Sus scrofa: one gene and its partners. The main gene of each other region encodes a partner of the protein of the gene in region 3 in a complex. Links are inferred from orthologs where the notes say so. Each region holds a gene or a part of one and is shown on either strand. Other genes may lie near its edges.

Evidence for each region. The genes of interacting proteins can lie anywhere in the genome.
Region 1: GATB (region 3) and QRSL1 share a complex: the UniProt entries of both Homo sapiens proteins name them as parts of the heterotrimeric GatCAB amidotransferase (AdT) complex. The link is inferred for Sus scrofa from reciprocal best matches to the Homo sapiens genes GATB and QRSL1.
Region 2: GATB (region 3) and GATC share a complex: the UniProt entries of both Homo sapiens proteins name them as parts of the heterotrimeric GatCAB amidotransferase (AdT) complex. The link is inferred for Sus scrofa from reciprocal best matches to the Homo sapiens genes GATB and GATC.

The regions. Positions count from the first base shown.
Region 1 is NC_010443.5:72,824,169-72,830,093, reverse strand, and holds part of QRSL1 (glutamyl-tRNA(Gln) amidotransferase subunit A, mitochondrial), read right to left. Parts: coding exon 5,888-5,925; intron 1,802-5,887; coding exon 1,625-1,801; intron 1-1,624. UniProt on the Homo sapiens protein: Allows the formation of correctly charged Gln-tRNA(Gln) through the transamidation of misacylated Glu-tRNA(Gln) in the mitochondria. The reaction takes place in the presence of glutamine and ATP through an activated gamma-phospho-Glu-tRNA(Gln).
Region 2 is NC_010456.5:40,418,932-40,424,856, reverse strand, and holds part of GATC (glutamyl-tRNA(Gln) amidotransferase subunit C, mitochondrial), read right to left. Parts: intron 4,078-5,925; coding exon 3,974-4,077; intron 1,901-3,973; coding exon 1,848-1,900; 3' UTR 1-1,847. UniProt on the Homo sapiens protein: Allows the formation of correctly charged Gln-tRNA(Gln) through the transamidation of misacylated Glu-tRNA(Gln) in the mitochondria. The reaction takes place in the presence of glutamine and ATP through an activated gamma-phospho-Glu-tRNA(Gln).
Region 3 is NC_010450.4:77,279,938-77,285,862, forward strand, and holds part of GATB (glutamyl-tRNA(Gln) amidotransferase subunit B, mitochondrial), read left to right. Parts: intron 1-442; coding exon 443-556; intron 557-2,797; coding exon 2,798-2,882; intron 2,883-3,564; coding exon 3,565-3,609; intron 3,610-5,913; coding exon 5,914-5,925. UniProt on the Homo sapiens protein: Allows the formation of correctly charged Gln-tRNA(Gln) through the transamidation of misacylated Glu-tRNA(Gln) in the mitochondria. The reaction takes place in the presence of glutamine and ATP through an activated gamma-phospho-Glu-tRNA(Gln).

The sequences.
Region 1 (5,925 bases), on a different chromosome or scaffold from region 3:
TTAAAAACTACTTATATATAAAAGAAACAAATCCAAAGGGGGAAAAATCAAGCAGAATACTTGTCAGTTTGAGATCCACTGAACCTGGAGTTTCTCTGGGTCTGTGCCTCTCTCTCTCTTTTTTTTTGTCTTTAGGGCTGCACCCATGGCATATGGAGGTTCCCAGGAGCTGTAGCTGCTGGCCTACACCACAGCCAGAGCAACTCGGGATCCAAGCCATGTTGGCGACCTACATCACAGCTCATGGCAATGCTGGATCCTTAACCCACTAAGGGAGGTCAGGGATTGAACCTTTGCCCTCAATGGATACTAGTCAGATTGTTTCCACTGAGCCACAGCGGGAACTCCTGTGCTTCTCATGATAACACCCAGAGTGAAGCTTTGGACTGAACAAGGCTCCTACCTATCACGTAGCCCTTGTGCTCTACAGAAAATGTATCATAGACTGCCGTTGTTACCCAGTCCACTTAAGCTACAAAATCAGACTGCTGCTTTCCCAATTTCTAAAAAGACACGTTTTCTTATTAGGATTCCCTGACGGCTGTGTAAAAGTAAAACCCACATTTCCATAGGAATTATGTGTCAAAATGCCATCTTCTCAAAGCATATTAGGAAAAGATAACACTAAGTGGGGTGATGGGGATGGAAAAAAAATACACCTCATCTTGCAACTCTAACTTGTCAGAACTCTCATTAATATTAATATGGTACTATAAAATTCCATAGAGATAAAATGAAATGGTTTTACTTGTTAACAAGATTTTAGGAAAACTATAAAAAAAACTGTAGAATCTAAATCTCCATAGCTCTAAAATGTATAAATAACTTATTGACTGCAATGCCTGCAAAAAGCTTGGTTTCAGTGGATAATTAAGTGGAAATAAAATATAGTACTACAAAAGAAAACTTTCTATTTGGTTAAATTGAGACCAATAAAATAAACACATAATAACAGCAATATTTATTTACTTTTCTTTAGATGGTTAAGAAATGCTTTACAAGTGAGACTTAAGACATAAAGCATGACTGATGGATTCTTTCCAAATACAAAGTTTGACAGTTGAACAAATCGCCTCCCTACAAATTAGAAAAACCTTTACTTACTGATAGACATTTTTAGTTGCAGATTTATAAAACACACTATTTAAAATAGTCTATTGATATATATTAGGAGCATCTTCTTTTTTTTTTGTTGTTGCAAAAATTGGATTTAGCTGAAGGATAAACCATAGCTAAGAATTTAGCTCAGCAGCATTCCACCAAAGCCAAGATGTCCCTAAATATCTCCACAGTCAGAGATAAATGATTTAAAAAATGAAATTCAATGTCTATTTAAGTCAACTGGTTTATTCTGTAAGATCCACAAAAATTATGTTTTTAAGAGGACTGGACACTAGAGAGGAAGAGTTTAAATGTTGTCTTAAGGTTAAATGTATAAAACACAGGTGTACCATACAGTTGAGTATAATTATAAGATATAATTTTGATGTTATCATTGAGCACAAAGAGCTCACTAAAGAGAAATAAAAATAGCAAGGTCTGAAGGACTCAACTGTTGGTTTTGTGTATGGCTTATGACTGTATTGAGTTGGGTTTTAAAGTACAGATAGAAAAAACATCTTACGCAAAGCAGGTGAACGCTGACACGGCCGCTGCGCTACCACCTGAGCTTCCTCCAGTTATAAGCCAGTTTGAATCCTCATCCTCACCATGAGTCTTCTGCTGCTTCTTTCCTCTGTACTGTTTTGAGTAACTCCAGGGGTTTTTAACCGGTCCAAATATGCCATCTGTGCTTCCAGATCTGAGATGAAGAAGTGAAGCAAGATCTCTTACTAAAGCTCATTTTGTGTGAAATTTCCATCTCCTGGTTATATTATTTGCTTTTGATGCTGTATAATCCACTTTGATTATAAATTGGACGTGAAAAGGCAGGAAGCCTATTTAGATGTCACTTTCTTTAATTAGATGGTTGAGGAGGTGAAGGATGGGAAGTAAGAGATTTGTGATAAAAAGTAGGAAAAAACTGGTCTGCTAAGAGAAGATATTTATCCAAATTGATTATCTAATTCAGCTTAGGATGATTTCCTTTATAAATTAAGGTTTTCCAGTTGAAGTGTGTCACAAACATTCAAATAGTTAACAAGACTTTTTTTTTATTTTTGGCCATGCCCACAGTATGGGGAAATTCCCGAGCCAGGGATCAAACCCATGCTACAGCAGCAACCCAAGCCACTGCAGTAACAGTGTTAAATCCTTAACCTGCGGCGCCAAAGAGAATGCCAATAAGTAGGCTTTTGAAGGAATTCCTCTTTAGCAGAAGTTTTGAGAAGCATTCTTAGTGGAATGCTAATAACTTTTTTTTAATTTTGAAAAAATGTCAACCTTACAGATAAATTACAGAAATAAAAAATAGTATGAAAAAACTTCATAGCCTTTACCCTGGTTCACCTACTGTTTACATTTTACCCCATTTGTTTTATCATTTTTGTGCTCTGTGTGTGTATCTATACATTTTTTCCCTGAACTACTTAAGGTTAAATAATATATACTATGGCCCTTTACCCCTAAATACTTTAGTATGAATTCAGTATGCATGTCCAAAGACCCTTTGGTATTCTCTTACACAATTACAGTATAGTCACCTCAGTAAATTTAACAGCAATACAATATTTTTATTGAACCTACTACATGTAATCCAATTTTGTCAGTTGATCCAATACTGTCCTTTATAGAACTTTACCTCCTTTTAGTACAGGATCAAATCAAGAGTCAGGAATGGTATTAGTTATCCTTGTCTCTTTACTCTCTCTTTTTACTTTTTTCACCAGTCTATGAATTTGCATTATTTCCTGTTTTTAGCAATTTGAATAAAGCCACAATAAATACTGTACTGAAGGGCTGGAGCCCATGCTTTAGTGTAAACATAAACCTTCATCTCTTGGGTGAATACCCAGGATTGAGAATGTTGGGTCTTAGGGTAAATGTATGTTTAATTTTATAAGAAACTGCTAAACTGTTTTCCAAATGGCTACACCATTTTGCATTTCATACCAGTGCTGTATGAGAAGACCAATTGTTCTGCATCCTGGTCAGCACTTGATATTGTCTTCTTCTTTTTTTTTTTTTTTTTTTTTTTTGGTCTTATTGCTTTTTCTAGGGCTGCTCCCACAGCATATGGAGGTTCCCAGGCTAGGGGTCTAACCGGAGCTGTAGCCACTGGCCTACACCAGAGCCACGGCAATGTGGGATCTGGGATCTGAGCCACGTCTGCCACCTACACCATAGCTCACGGCAATGCCCGATCCTTAACCCACTGAGCAAGGCCAGGGATCGAACCTGCAACCTCATGGTTCCTAGTCGGATTCGTTAACCACTGCGCCATGACGGGAACTCTGATATTGTCATTTTTAAAGCCATTCTAACTCACATGTATATACTTTATTGTGGTTTTAATTTGCATTTCTTGAGTGACTAACCACATTAAGTATTTTTTGATTTTTCTTTTTGCCAATTGTATTACTTTCTTTGACATACAATTTCAGAAGTTGTTTATAACTTTTACTCTTTTTTTTTTTTTAATTGGGTTGTTTTGATTTGGGAAAGTTTCTACATATACTGGATCCCAATTCTTTCTCAGACATGTGTTTTGCAAATATTTTTTCCCAGTCTATGGCTTGTTTTTCCATTTTTAACACTGTATTTCAAAGTACAGCTCTTAATTTTAAGGAAATCCAATTTACTGATTTTTAATTTTATAGAATGTACTTTATGTGTCCCATATAAGAAATTTCGGCATTATTCAGGGTCAGAAAGATTTTCTCCTATGTTTTCTTAAGTTATAGGTTTTACTTTCTTTAGCCTCCTTTAGCCTGGAACATTTTCACAGTCTTTCTTTGTTTTTATGATATTGAGATTTTAATAGAATGTTTCTCCTTTCAGATTTATTGTTTGTTTCCTCATTATGAGCTGGAATACATTCTCAGCTGGAATATTGCATAGGTGATTCCTTCTCAGAGAATCACATCTGGAAGTACACGGTATTGCTCTACTCTCACTAGTGATGTTCATTTTGATCAGCTGTTCAAGGTAATGTCCTAAAAACCTATGTTCACGTTTACTTCCAGATTAATTCATTCAACATATGTTTACTAATTACTAAGAGATGCCACTGTAAATAAGAGAGTGAAGGAATCTGCTTGTATGAAACAGGAAACACAGACCAAACTAATATTACAAGTGTGACAAATGTTATAAAAGGGGAAATAAAATGCTTTTGATGAAAGACTAAATGCTTTCCTCCATGATTAGGAACAAGGCAAGGATATTTGATCTTACCACTTAATATTCAATATTGTACTAAAAGTCCTAACTGGTGCAAAAAGGCTAGAAAAAGAAATAAAACTGTCTCTATTTGCAGACTACATGCTCACCTATATAAAATATACCAAACAATCTATACAAAGCCCAACCAGAATTAATAAGTGAGCTTACCAAGGTCACAGGATAAAAATAAAAGGTCAACATAGAAAAGTCAATTACATTCCTATATATTAGAAATAAACAATTAGAAACTGAAAAAAATACCATTTTCTATAATACTAAAAAAAGTGTTCAATTGATTTTTTCACAAAGGAATCAAAGTAATTTAATTTGAATTTTTATACAAATAGTCCCAGATCTACAGGACAGACATATGTTAAAAAAAAAAAAAAAAAAAAAAAAGAGAGAGAGAACTTCGGCTTTCTTCACATCATATATGAAAAATTAACTCAAATGGAACACAAGTCTAAATATAAGAACTAAAACTGTAAAACTTCTAGGAGAAACATGGAAAAAAAAATCTTTATGACTTTGAGGAAAGGAAAGGGAAAGATTTCTTTGATAAGACACAAAAAACATCAAGTCATTAAAGAAAATGAGGAACAGGATATTAAAAGCTTGTACTGTATTTTTTTGTTTGTTTGTTTGTTTTTGTTTGTTTGTTTGTCTTTTTGCTGTTTCTTTGGGCCGCTCCTGTGGCATATGGAGGTTCCCAGGCTAGGGGTCTATTCGGAGCTGTAGCCACTGGCCTATGCCAGAGCCACAGCAACTCGGGATCCGAGCCGCTTCTGCAACCTACACCACAGCTCACGGCAACGCCGGATCGTTAACCCACTGAGCAAGCGCAGGGACCGAACCCGCAACCTCATGGTTCCTAGTTGGATTCGTTAACCACTGCGCCACGACGGGAACTCCAAAGCTTGTACTGTTTGAAAGGCATATTTGGAGAATGCAAAGACAAGCCAGAGACTCAGAATATATTTGCAAATGATCTGACATTGAATTTGAATCCGGAATATATGAAAAAAAACTCTTACGACTCAATAAAACAACCCAATTAAAAAAATTTTTTTTCTTTGTCTTTTTAGGGCTGCATATGGAGGTTCCCAGGCTAGGGGTTACATCAGAGCTGCAGCTGCCAGCCTACACCACAGCCACAGCAATGCCAGATCTGAGCCGTGTCTGTGAACTACACCACAGCTCATGGCAATGCCGTATCCTTAACCCACTGATCGAGGCCAGGGATTGAACCTGTGTCCTCATGGATACTAATTGGGACAACCCGGTTTTTTTAAAAAGCGCAAAGATTTGAATAGAAACTTCACCAAAGATACATGGGTAGCAAAATAAATACATGATGTTTAACATCGTTAGTCACCAGAGAAGTCCAAATTAAAACCAAAATAAGATACGACCGGTCAGCAGAACATAAATCTTAAGGAAGGCCTGAGAATCTGGGATTAGCGTCCTCAAGAAATCACCTCACTACTTTTAGGTACCTACACTTGAGGAAATTAAAGATACAAATGAAAAAAATACAAGAAAAGAAAATTTCAATTTTACTTACCCCATAGCAAACTCATCTAAATTTGTTTTCCCCATTAG
Region 2 (5,925 bases), on a different chromosome or scaffold from region 3:
TGGTAAAGAGCAGAAGTGGATTACTGTATTTGGGAATAAAGGTAGTTGCTCTGATAGTGGTTTGAGAACTTCAATCCCAAGGGTAGATTCAGGGTTTTCTTATAATTCAAGGCTAATTGTGTAAATTAAGCTGCTTTAAAGAAAAGGGGAGGAATTCCCTCTGTGGCAAAGTGGGTTAAAAATCTGACTGCAGTAGTTTGGGTTGCTGTGGAGGCAAGGGTTTGATCCCTGGCCTGGCGCAGTGGGTTAAGGATCCAGCATTGCCACCACTGTGGCAGGGATCAAATCCAGCTGTGGCATAGGTCATCACTGTGGCTTAGATTTGATCCCTGGTCCAAGAACTTTCATATGTTCCATGGGTCTGGCAAAAAAAGGAAAAGGGGAGCATTGCAGATAAGAGAAGGGAGTGGGGAGGCTTTTTATTTTTGTTTACTTTGCTTTTTTAGGGCCATACCCGTGGCATATGGAGGTTCCCAGGCTAAGGGTCAAATCGGAGCTACAACTTCCAGCCTACCCCACAGCTTCAGCAACACAGGATCCAAGCTGTGTCTGCAACCTTCACCACAGCTCACGGCAACACCAGATCCTTAAGCCCCTGAGCGAGGCCAGGGATCGAACCCATTCCTAGTAAGATTCATTTCCGATGTGCCACGACAGGAACTCCAGGAAGGCTTTTTTAAGTGGGCACCAGCATAAAGATCATCGGGAAATTCTTACCCAAAACCAACTTTGGCAGTTGGTTAGAAAAAAAAAAAAATCTCTTAAGTTTTGGTTCTATCACTTTCATTCCTAAATTTGTCTCATTTGTCCTTGGTATCTGAGCTTTAAAAAACAAAACGTGGAGTTCCCATCATGGCTCACTGGTAACAAACCTTACTTATATTCATTGAAGACGTGGGTTCCATCCCTGGTCTCACTCAGTGGGTTGCCATGAGCTGTGATGTAGGTCGCAGATGTGGCACAGATCCCACATTTCTGTGGCTGTAGTATAGCCTGGCAGCTACAGCTCTGATTCAACCACTAGCCTGGGAACTATGCCCTGGGTGCAGCCTTAAAAAGACAAAAAATAAACAAACCCAGAACAAAAAAAAATCCCCACTATCTTGGATTCTGCTTAAGTTCAGTAATCATGGAACTGGGGGCCTACTCTGTTGCAGGCCCAGGGCTACATTAAAAAAAAAAAAAAAAAAAAAAAAAAAAAAAAAACACTTTATTGAAATATAATTATCTGTAAAATGCTGTACTTATTTAATGTATACAATTCAATGAGTTTGGGGTTAAGTATACTGGTATGAAATCACAACCATGAAGGCCATATACATATCTATCACCTACCTCCTAAAGCTGCCTCCCTACTCCTTTAACCTCAGCAGAAAGTCAGCCCTCTGCTTGGAAGAAGGTGGGTACCCTGGAACAAATTTAAGTATGTTCAGTAAAAGTAAAAGGCTGCTCAAGTTGACAGTCTGAAAAGGATAGCTCAGGCTGTCAACACAGTGATCAGATGCAGTGTCTAACAGTTACATAAACAAAAAAGGTCACTTTAAGTACAGCTTGGTAGACAGTCTTTTGAGGGAAGGGATCAAGCTATCCATACTTAATGGCCTGTGAGTAAATACTTGATCCATTTCCTTGGAAATCGGCAATACCTTCTACTTCCACTGGCATCAGGAACTCTTTGGCTAGATCTTTCCCAAGTCGGTCTTCAGAAGAGTCACTTACTAAAAAATGCCTAACCATCAATTTTTTTTCCAGGTGACTGAAGGAAGTGGGAATATTTGCGTTCATAATAACAAAATACTGTTGTTGTCCTTCCAATGTTCATAGAACACTCCTTCCCAGAAGAGTACTCAGCGGAATGAGAAGGGCTCTTTTTCATCCAGCTTTGACCAAGAGATATTACCTGTTTGAAAACAATAACAAAAAGGAATTTTTAGTTAAGCCTGCTTCCCAACCGGCTCTACACTGAGCTAACTTACCACATGGTTTGTCATGAAAAATAAGCAATATAAATAAGTGTAGTTATTAAGCTTTAAGAACCATGGTTCACAGATACTTTTTTTTACTCTGAATATATATATTTTTTTTAATTGAAGTACAGTTGATTTACAGTGTTGTGTTAGTTTTTTTGAGTGCACATTTTCAGTAAGTAGCAGATAGTTTAATTTGTCATTTTTTATGCATGCATATGGGAGAGGAAAGAGAGATTATGATTGTAAACTCAGTTTGTCCCAAGACACAAATTTTTCTTTTTGGAGTTCCTGTCATGGCTCAGTGGTTAAGAACCAGACTAGCATCCATAAGGACGCAGGTTGGATCCCTGGCCTCGCTTAGTGGCTTAAGGATCAGAGTTGCTGAGCTGTGGTGTAGGTGGCAGACGTGGCTCGGATCTGGCGTTGCTGTGGCTGTGGTGTAGGCCGGCAGCTACAGCTCCGATTGGACCCCTAGCCTAGGAACTCCATATGCTGAGGGTGCTGCCCAAAAAGACAAAAAGAAGAAAAAAGAAAAAATTTTTTTCTTTTTAATGGCTGCACCAGAAGCATATGGAAGTTCCCAGGCTAGGGACTGAATCCCAGCTGCACCTGCAACTGGGTCCTTTAACCCACTGTGCTGCTGGGCCAGGGATCAAAACCCATACTGCTGCAGTCAGCTTCTTAACTCACTGCACCACAGCAGGAACTCCCCAAGATGCATATTCTGACACAAGGTTCTATTTGAGAAATAGCATGTGTGATCAACAGATACGTCTGCTGAAATGGCAACAACTATCAGAATGAGTTGAGAGATTATAAAATCTTATTTCTCTGCACAATTAACTAAAGTGGTTTAGTTAATAAGAGGCATGATTAAGAGTTAAGCACACGTATCTTTTAGGTTTCCTTCCCATCCTTGCTTCAACCAGAGCTTTCCTTTAACTGGTTGGTCTTGATCAAAGAGAGAATTCCTGAGCTAGAGGGCTGATGTGTATCTCTGGAGGCTTCTCAGGATGGTTCTCCTCTGAAGAACTTGAAGTTGGCACTTGGAAAGCCATCTACCTGGAGTGGTTAGTCCCATCCCCAAATGTCCAGAGGGATGCAGTAGCTCTGAGGACTCACCCATCAACAGTTCAAACCACCTAAGGTTCTGGGTTTTATTACTGGCCCAGGGTTATTTTAAAGTTTCCACTTAAAATATCTGTAGGAGCTCCTGCTGTGGCATAATGTGATCAGTGGCCTTTTTGGGAGCAGTGGGATGCAGGTTCGATCCCCAGCCCGGCACAGTGGGTTAAGGATCTGGCGTTGCAGCTCAGATCTGATCCCTGGCCTGGGAGCTCCATGTGCCTTGGGGTAGCCAAAAATGAAAAAATAAAAACTAATAGTTACAGAGAAATTTAAACATGCAAATCTCTACACTAGGATATGCAAATTGATGATTCACAGGCAGTGTCTAGCTTGCAGGTATGTTTTATTTGCAAGGTATTTTATTTTTTAAAATCTTGAATTAGTTATCATACACTTAAAATAGCACACAAAATGCCAGATGTCCAGGTTCTCTGAGAAAATGGGCTCCCATTCCTGGTTTGTTTGTTGTTTCCAGTTTTATTGAGATATAATCGACAGGTAAAATATAATTGACATGTGACATTGTATAAGTTTAAGGCATACAACACAATGATTTGATATATGTATATATTGCAAAATGGTTACTATAAGATTAATTAACATCTATCATCTCACATAGTTACAGTTTCTTCTCTTGTGATGAGAACTTTTAATGTCTACTCTTAGCAACTTTCAGATATTCAGTATTGTTAACTATATAGTCCCGACATTACATCCCCAGGACTTACTTCACTTATAACTGGAAGCTTATACCTTTTGACTACCTTCATCTATTGCTACTTTATACTTTTTAAAGTGCTTTCACATAGACAATCTGGGTTATATTCTTAGTTTACTGTGGGACAGTCTGTGAAGCCATTCTGGGCAACACATACCTGGGGGGGCCACAAAATACTCCTCCACAACTCGATGGGAGTTTTGTAGTAGTTCTTCAGCACAGTTGCCTTCTACCACATTGTCGGATCTCAGGTACAGACATCTACAAAACCAGAAGTTTAAGGTTACCTTCTCAGAACAGGGCTTCTATGGTAAGGTAGAGAGGGTCGAGAAGGAGAAAAAGGAGCAGCACATTGGGTTAGAGTAACTGCTCAAAGATGGAGGCACTGTGGTCAGTGGTAGAGCAAATAACAGTATAGTTTACAGATTCTCCCAACAACCCTGTGAGGTAAGTAGTAATTATTCCTTAGGATTGATATGTTTAATAAATATTTTTTGCTGATTACTATGTGTAAGTCGCTTTTGGTGGAGATAGGTAAAAGTCAGTTAAATCTTAAGAGGTAAGCAGTGCTTGCCAAGGGAATTGAAAAGGGAACCTAACCCAGCCTGGGTGAGGAATATGTATTCAGAATAGGTAATATTATTCCTTTGCCACAGTTAAGAAATAGCTGGATTGGGTGGATGGAAATGGACTTCCAGGCAGGTGCAGAAACTTGCTCAAAAGTGGTTATAAATGACTTAAGCTCCTAAGTGACAGGCCTGGGAACCAACTCTGGTTCCCCTAAGATGAGTGCTTTTTCCATTGCAGCCACCTTTGTGGATATAAGTACCTGCCCTTGTAAGATGTACCACAAACACAGCTTAAGAATCTTCTTAGTGCCTAATAGTTTTATTAAAGTATCCAGATGGCAAACTAGTGAAACTGAACAGAAGTTGGACACATCTGTGGGGCCTTACTACTGTTCTAAGGTTTCAAAGTGCATGACAGGAAGTTCCCATTGCGGCTTGGCAGTAACAAGCCCAACTAGTATCCATGAGGACACGGGTTTGATTCCTGGCCTTGCTCAGTGGGTTAAGGATCTGGCATTGCTGGGAGCTGTGGTGTAGGTCACAGATGCGGCTCAGATCCTACGTTGCTGTGGCTGTGGTGTAGGCCAGAAGCTGTAGCTCTGATTTTGACCCCTAGCCTGGGAACCTCCACAAGCAGCTAGTGTGGCCCCTAAAAAGCAAAAACAAAAACAGAAACAAAAAACAAAAGTGTGTGACAGGAGGCTTGAGCCTGCTTCCAGATACTTGGGCTGAAAAATAAGCAGTCTGCTAAATCACTGATGGGGAGCAGCCAGTGTCTTTCTGCTTTGAGCCAGACAAGCTGAGGGCTCAACCTAATAGGACAGTGGGGCAAGGATGTGACATGAACATCTGCGTAGAGGCTGCATAGAGGGCCAAGTTGTAATGTTAAGATTCTTTTAGGAAAGGATTGGTTCTGTTTTCTTTGGGGCACCCAGCCTAGGACGAGACACAATAAACATGTATTCAAATGGTGCTAAGAGTGGACAGTTGGAGTTTATTCCAGGAGCTGGCACTGTCTTAAATGTGTTGCCCTAAACAAGTATGATCTTCTAGACCTTCAGTTTCTTGCCAAAAAAGTGAATGTTGTACTTGATTTTTTCTTTTTAACCATATGAGGTTATGGACTCATACTCATTTAAGGAAACCTGGAGAACAAAAATAAAAATCATCTATGAAGGTAACTATTGGACTTTATATTTCTGTTGGGCAACATAGCAAAAATGGCAAAGAACTTAGGCTCCTGAATCATTGCTGAATCCAAACCCCAGAGCCACAACGTGGCCTGTATGCAAGTTACTTTTTCTTTCATGTTATCAGTTTATTTGTAAAATGCTTCAGAGAATTGCTGGAAAGATTAAATGAATGTTTTAAAAGATCTGATAATGCTGGGCTTTCACTCTCATGGCAATAGGAGGTGGGTGTTGAATATCAGCTCCTTTCAGAAATGAGTTCATGCACCTCAGGTACACTTGGATCCCCACCACCCATTCAGGGAATGCCTATGCACTAAACCTGCTATAACCACACACAACATGCCTAC
Region 3 (5,925 bases):
CCAGCCTTGTACCTCAGCACCAACCTTGCCTTCACTGAAGTTAGGCTGCCATAACTAAACAATGACTAGAGTTAGATGTTGTTTGCACTCTCTCTCTCTCTCTCTCTTTTTTTTTTTTTTTTTTTTTTTTTTTTTGTCTATTTAGGGCCGCACCTGCTGCATGTGGAAGTTCCTAAGCCAGAGGTAGAATCAGAGCTATAGCTGCCGGCCTACACAAAAACCAGAGCAACATAGATCCAAGCCGCATCTGCGACCTACACCACAGCTCATGGCAACACTAGATCCTTAACCCACTGAGCAAGGCCAGGGATTGAACCTGCATCCTCAAGGGTACTGATTGAGTTTGTTATCCCTGAGCCACCATGGGAACTCTGCAATCTCTTGCCTTCAAAAGACCTCATTGCCTCAGCAAGTCTGAAGTGTCTTCTTTCTCTCCTTCCAGAGGGCCAGTTGAGAGTGGATGCCAATATATCTGTGCATCACCCTGGGGAGCCTTTGGGCATTCGAACTGAAGTGAAGAATCTCAACAGTGCCAGGTTTTTGGCCAAAGCTATAGGTGAATATCAGCTGTTATTCCCATGTACCTCCTTGTATCCGTTATCTGTTGCTGTGTAACAAGCATCCCTGTCCATCAAACTTAATGGTTCCCACAGTAACATTTCCACTTTCACAGTTCTATGGGTTGAGTGGGTTTTCTGCTGCCCTTCCTCAGTGGAAAGAGTGTGATGAGTGTGGCTGTGGGGAGCCAGCAACTCAGCTCAGACAAAGAGTCCAAGATGACCTCACCCCCATGTTGGGACATTGGTGCTGGGTGCCCACCAGGCTTCTTTACCCACATGGGCTCTCTTCCTTCATTTGCTGAGCCATGGCCTTATTTGGTGGAGGGGTCATGCCAGGAGGATGAAGGCAGACGCCTCGAGGCCTCTTGAGTCCTTAGTTTTAGAACTTGCAGGATCTCTTTCAGCACATTGCATTCAAAGCAGATTCAAGTGAGGTGAAACAGACGTCACCTCTATGAAAGGATCTGCAAAATCCCACAACTCTGTTTTCCACATACCATGTTCCTTCTGACCAGCCTGAATTGAGTGAAGTCCTCTTTGTTCATTTTAGATTGGCCACCACTTGACCTAAGTGGTCAGTATGCTTTTCTGCTTTTTACTGTTTTAACTAATAGATTGGGCCTGTGCAGTCAAGTATTGGTCTTATTGGAGAACATGCTGTGGATATTTCCATGTTGTCAAGCATATACCAATAATTAAACTAGAACAGCTGGGTAAGATCAACATCTGGGGGCGGTCCGTAGAAGTTGATGCCTGTGAATGTGAGAGGAAGACATCTCAGGAATGAAAATATTCTTGAAAACCAGAGGTCTCTAGAGAGAAAGAGAGGCAGGAAGGAGGGGTGGAGTCTGAAGCACACCCTGCAAGGTGCACAGAACATGGCCCACACGGATGTGTCATCACAGGCAGAAGGCTTAGTAGAGTCCTGGGTCTTGTCAAGAAAGTATTCAAAATAGCACAAAAAAAGATTTTCTAGTCTTGTATAAAACCTTATTCTCCTGAACCTGAAATGATCAACCATCCTCAGTGAAGACACTCCGAGTCTGCCAAGTTTCAGGAAAACTGCATGAATTTGGCCAAGGGAATAACTTACAGGAAGGGAAGGTGTCTGAGGGAGACTCCCGTGTGAAGACAGATTAAAGAGGGTGGACTCTGTCCATCAAAGGAGATGCAGTCCATGTTTCTGAGGCTGTGAAAACCCTTCCGGCCCAGGTTCGTGAAGGCGAAGCTTGGGAAGAACGGAAGAAAGTTCCATCTCACCTTGTAGGTGGTGCATGTTCTCCACCTCATTATTCTGAGAGGAGATGGTAACCTTAAAAACCAAATAAGGTTTTAGGTAGATTCATCTCTTTTGAGTTACGGAGACCCTGCCTGTTTCGGGGTAAACCCAACCTTCTATTGTCCTATAAAGTCCCCTTTGGAGCAGCAAGCCTGAGACAGAATTTTCCCTGGGGTCTGCCTTGGCCCAGAACAACTGCAGCTTTACTGTTATGGACTTAGTCCTCCAAGCCTGGAATTTTTCCACCTCCTTTTTCTCCCTCTGTCAGGCCTTTTAGCCATCCTCCTGGTGCTGATGCTTTTTTATCGGCTCAGATTAAGAGTGTGGATTTGGGCAAGAGAAGGGGGTGCGTGCTGGGGTGGGGAGTTAGCAGGACAGAGGCTAAAGCTCTTTTCATAAAGAAGCTTAGCAGCTATAGCTGTGTTTTGCTTTCCACAGCTGCTTTGTTTGATGGTGAGGGAGCACAGCAGTGGCTCTTAATCATTTGGGGTCGTAGATCCCTTTGAAAATGTGATGATAGTTCTGGGCCCTCTTTCCAAAAAACGTGCGTATGCACATACCACGTTTTATATAGTTTCAGAAGGTACCAGGACCCCTTGCCCGTCCATGGGTCCTGGGATAAGGACTCTTGATAAACAACAATCCTAGATCTGGAGTCACTCAGCCTAGATAATGGTCCGAGCCCTTCTTTCGCCAAGTTGTGTAGTCTCCGCTGGGTCCCTTAACCTCTCTGTACCTGAGTTTTCTCAAAAATTGAGAGAGCAGAGCTTCATACAAGGCCCTTTCCAGCACCTTTATTCTATGATGGCATCAAGACAAAAATGTAGCATATGTAGGAAGAATTGTCATAAACAGCTTTTTTTTTTTTTTGACATAAAGATTGAAAAAAGAATTCTAATTATTGCTTAACTGGATGAAAGGAATCAAAATATGATACACGACAAATTTTTTTTTTTAGACTATGAAATTCAGAGGCAAATCAGTGAACTTGAGAATGGAGGTGAAATTCTGAATGAAACTCGTTCGTTTGATTACAAGCTGGGGTGAGTTTGTGTTGCAGCATCTTGAACACAGGTAGGTGGGGCTGTGGCCTGGGCTGGCCACACTCCAGCCATGTCACCTTGAAGGAGGGACGTAGCCTCTCCACCCTTCTGTTTCCTCATTAGTAAAATTAGAAAAACACTGTATCCTACAGAGAGGTGATTTACTCTCTAGGGCTTGTAAGAGGTTTAACCTGGCTGAACCAGACCTGCTCAGGCTGGCCTTTCCCTGGCTTCCAGCTTTCCTCCTTGGGGCAAGAACTTTTACTTCCTTAAATTCTTTCATACCTTAGTTCTGCCAACTGAAGCTAGAGATGGAAGGCAGCTTAGAGCTGATTGTAGAGGTGCCTTTTTCTGTTGAGATAACTTTGAGTCTAATTTTCTGAGTCTGATTTTGAGGATTTTTTCCACTTAGCCGAAGACAGAGTGGAAAAAAGCTCAAAAGCTTAGAGTTGAGTTGGTTAAATGTTGGAAACATTGAAGCAGTTTCTTTTTATTTTTAATTATCATGCTAAACATTTTTTACTTATCTTTTCTGAAATGTATTCACATAAGTGTCTTCCAAAGAAGGCTAAGGAGCTGGAATCTCATGGGTCGCCTCTTGGTAGGGGAGTCCCTGTCTGCATAGGCACTAGCCCACGCTACATGCAACATTTTTTGATGTTTTCTTGTTTAACTGTCACAGGTGCACCGTGCCGATGAGAGATAAAGAAGGAAAACAAGACTACAGGTGGTTATTCCTCTTGTCAAAACACCTTTCACTATTTGGGGTTGGGGCATGTTCCAAATCCACTTATAGACCAACATAATGACCCTGGGTATATTTTAGGAACCACTTTACTTGTTACTGTATAATGGAAAATCCAGACTTCCTGTTTTATATGTATACTGAGTGAATATTTTCTTGATTTGGTAGCCATGGAGTACTTTATTTGGCTTGATTCAGTGGTTGGAAAAGCCATGTTCACTCACCTCTGTGTCACAGTTGTTATAATTGAGCTGAGAGAGTGGCAGGTGAGGGGTGGAGCCTAGGCTGTTCTTATTTTATTCACTAACAAATTCAGTAACACACTGAGGTTCTGTGAGAAGAAGGAAGAAAGATTTATGTATTATTCACAGTTCCCATTGAATCTCAGGTGATGCTATTTAATTGATTTAATTTAAACAAGCTAGACTTGATACGAGAGCCAGAATGAAAGCAAATAATGAGGTTTAGTTTAAAATCAAGTGAACCTTTTGTTTCTTCCCCATGGAGTTTAGCAGACTTCAAAAATTAAAGTTTCAAGCAACAAAGTGATAGAGGTTAGCACATTCTTTTATCAAGTGCAGGAAGAGGTAAGAGTAGCCATTGCTGTCAGTGAGGAGCACACATGGCATTCACGTGATGTGGGAACCAGGAAACTCTTCAACCCTCAGAGTGACGTCTCCTCAAGGACTCCTCTGTCAGAGTCACCACTGTCCTAATTCCTGTGATCTTCTAATTCAGTCTCTTCTTCCCAAGAAGGTCTTTGTTCTCCAGTGCTGCCCCTGCTCTGTTTATGCTGCCTTCTCACTGAGCATGGAGTTGGCTTTTGAACTCAGCCAGTGGCTTCAGCTCAGTCCCCCAGGCAAATAGATGGGATTCAGGAAGCCTCCCTTTGGTTTCCTCTTGCCTTCAGAAGCCAGACTGATTCATGGCACAGATTGGGCTTTGAGGCAGTGGGTTGCTTGCACTTCTGATCTGTTACCTTGGGGCCACCATTTATTCTGCATTATCCAGCTTCTGCACAAGCTCCTTGACAAGATGTGGGTGGAGAAGAAACTCTACATGCTGAAGAGAATGAAGGGAAGGACGTCCTTGTTTCAGAAGAGCATGTGCAGTGGTGCGGCTTCCACATTTTTTTTTTAAAAATTGACTTTTTAGACCAGTTTTAGGTTTATAGCAGAACTGAGGGCAAATCATAAGAGTTCCTATATACTCCTTGGTGTATTTCATGTACTCCCCTTCCCCCCACCACACACACAGTTTCCCCTAATAATATCTTGCGTTAGGGTAAAGCGTGGTACATTTGTTAAAGTTGATGAACCAGTATTGATAGCTTATTAGTAACTAGAGTCCATGGTTTACACCAGGGTTTGCTCTCTATGTTACACATTTTGCGGGTTTTGACAGATGTGTAATGACATGTACCCGTCATTAGTGTCACACAGTATGGTTTCACTGCCTCCAAAATCCCCTGTGCTTCCCTCAGCTAACATTTTATTTAAACAAAATGCATTTTTTCTTCCACTTTTCAAGAAAGAAATTTCTCTCTCTCTCTCTTTTTTTGGGGGGGGTCTTTTTGCCTTTTCTAGGGTCACTTCCTGCAGCATATGGAGGTTCCCAGGCCAGGGGTCTCATCGGAGCTGTAACCACTGGCTTATACCAGAGCCATAGCAACGCGGGATCCGCGCCGCATCTGCAACCTGTACCACAGCTCACGGCAACGCCGGATCCTTAACCCACTGAGCAAGGCCATGGATCGAACCTGCAACCTCATGGTTCCTAGTCGGATTTATTAACCACTGTGCCATAACGGAACTCCTTTTTCTTTTGTGTTTTTCAGCCTTGCCCACAGCACACAAAAGTTCCCTGGCCAGGGCTCAAACCTGCACCATAGTGGTGACCTGAGCCACAACAGTGACAATGCCAAGTTCTTAACTGCTAGGCCAGTGAAAATTGTAAAATGAGTGAAGTCATCTTTTTCCTAAAAAGTAGATTCTTACCTGGTCGTATTTTTTCAGCCTCCATCTTTATGAATGTCTGTACTTTACTCACAATTACGAATCACTGTGTGGCATCGTTCTCTGCTGTGCCTTTTTCACTCAATGCTAGTTTATAAGTGCAGAGAATAAGTGGGTTTGGGCTTTTCGACCTGGACTTTACCCTTGTACAAGGACTCGTTCCTGGGAAACCGGAAGACTTGCTATTATGGGACGTTAGGAAATATTTGCCAGTAAAAGGGCATCTGGACCAAGGCTTTCGTGCTGACGGCAGGTCTGTCTCTCCACCCAGGTTCATGCCGGA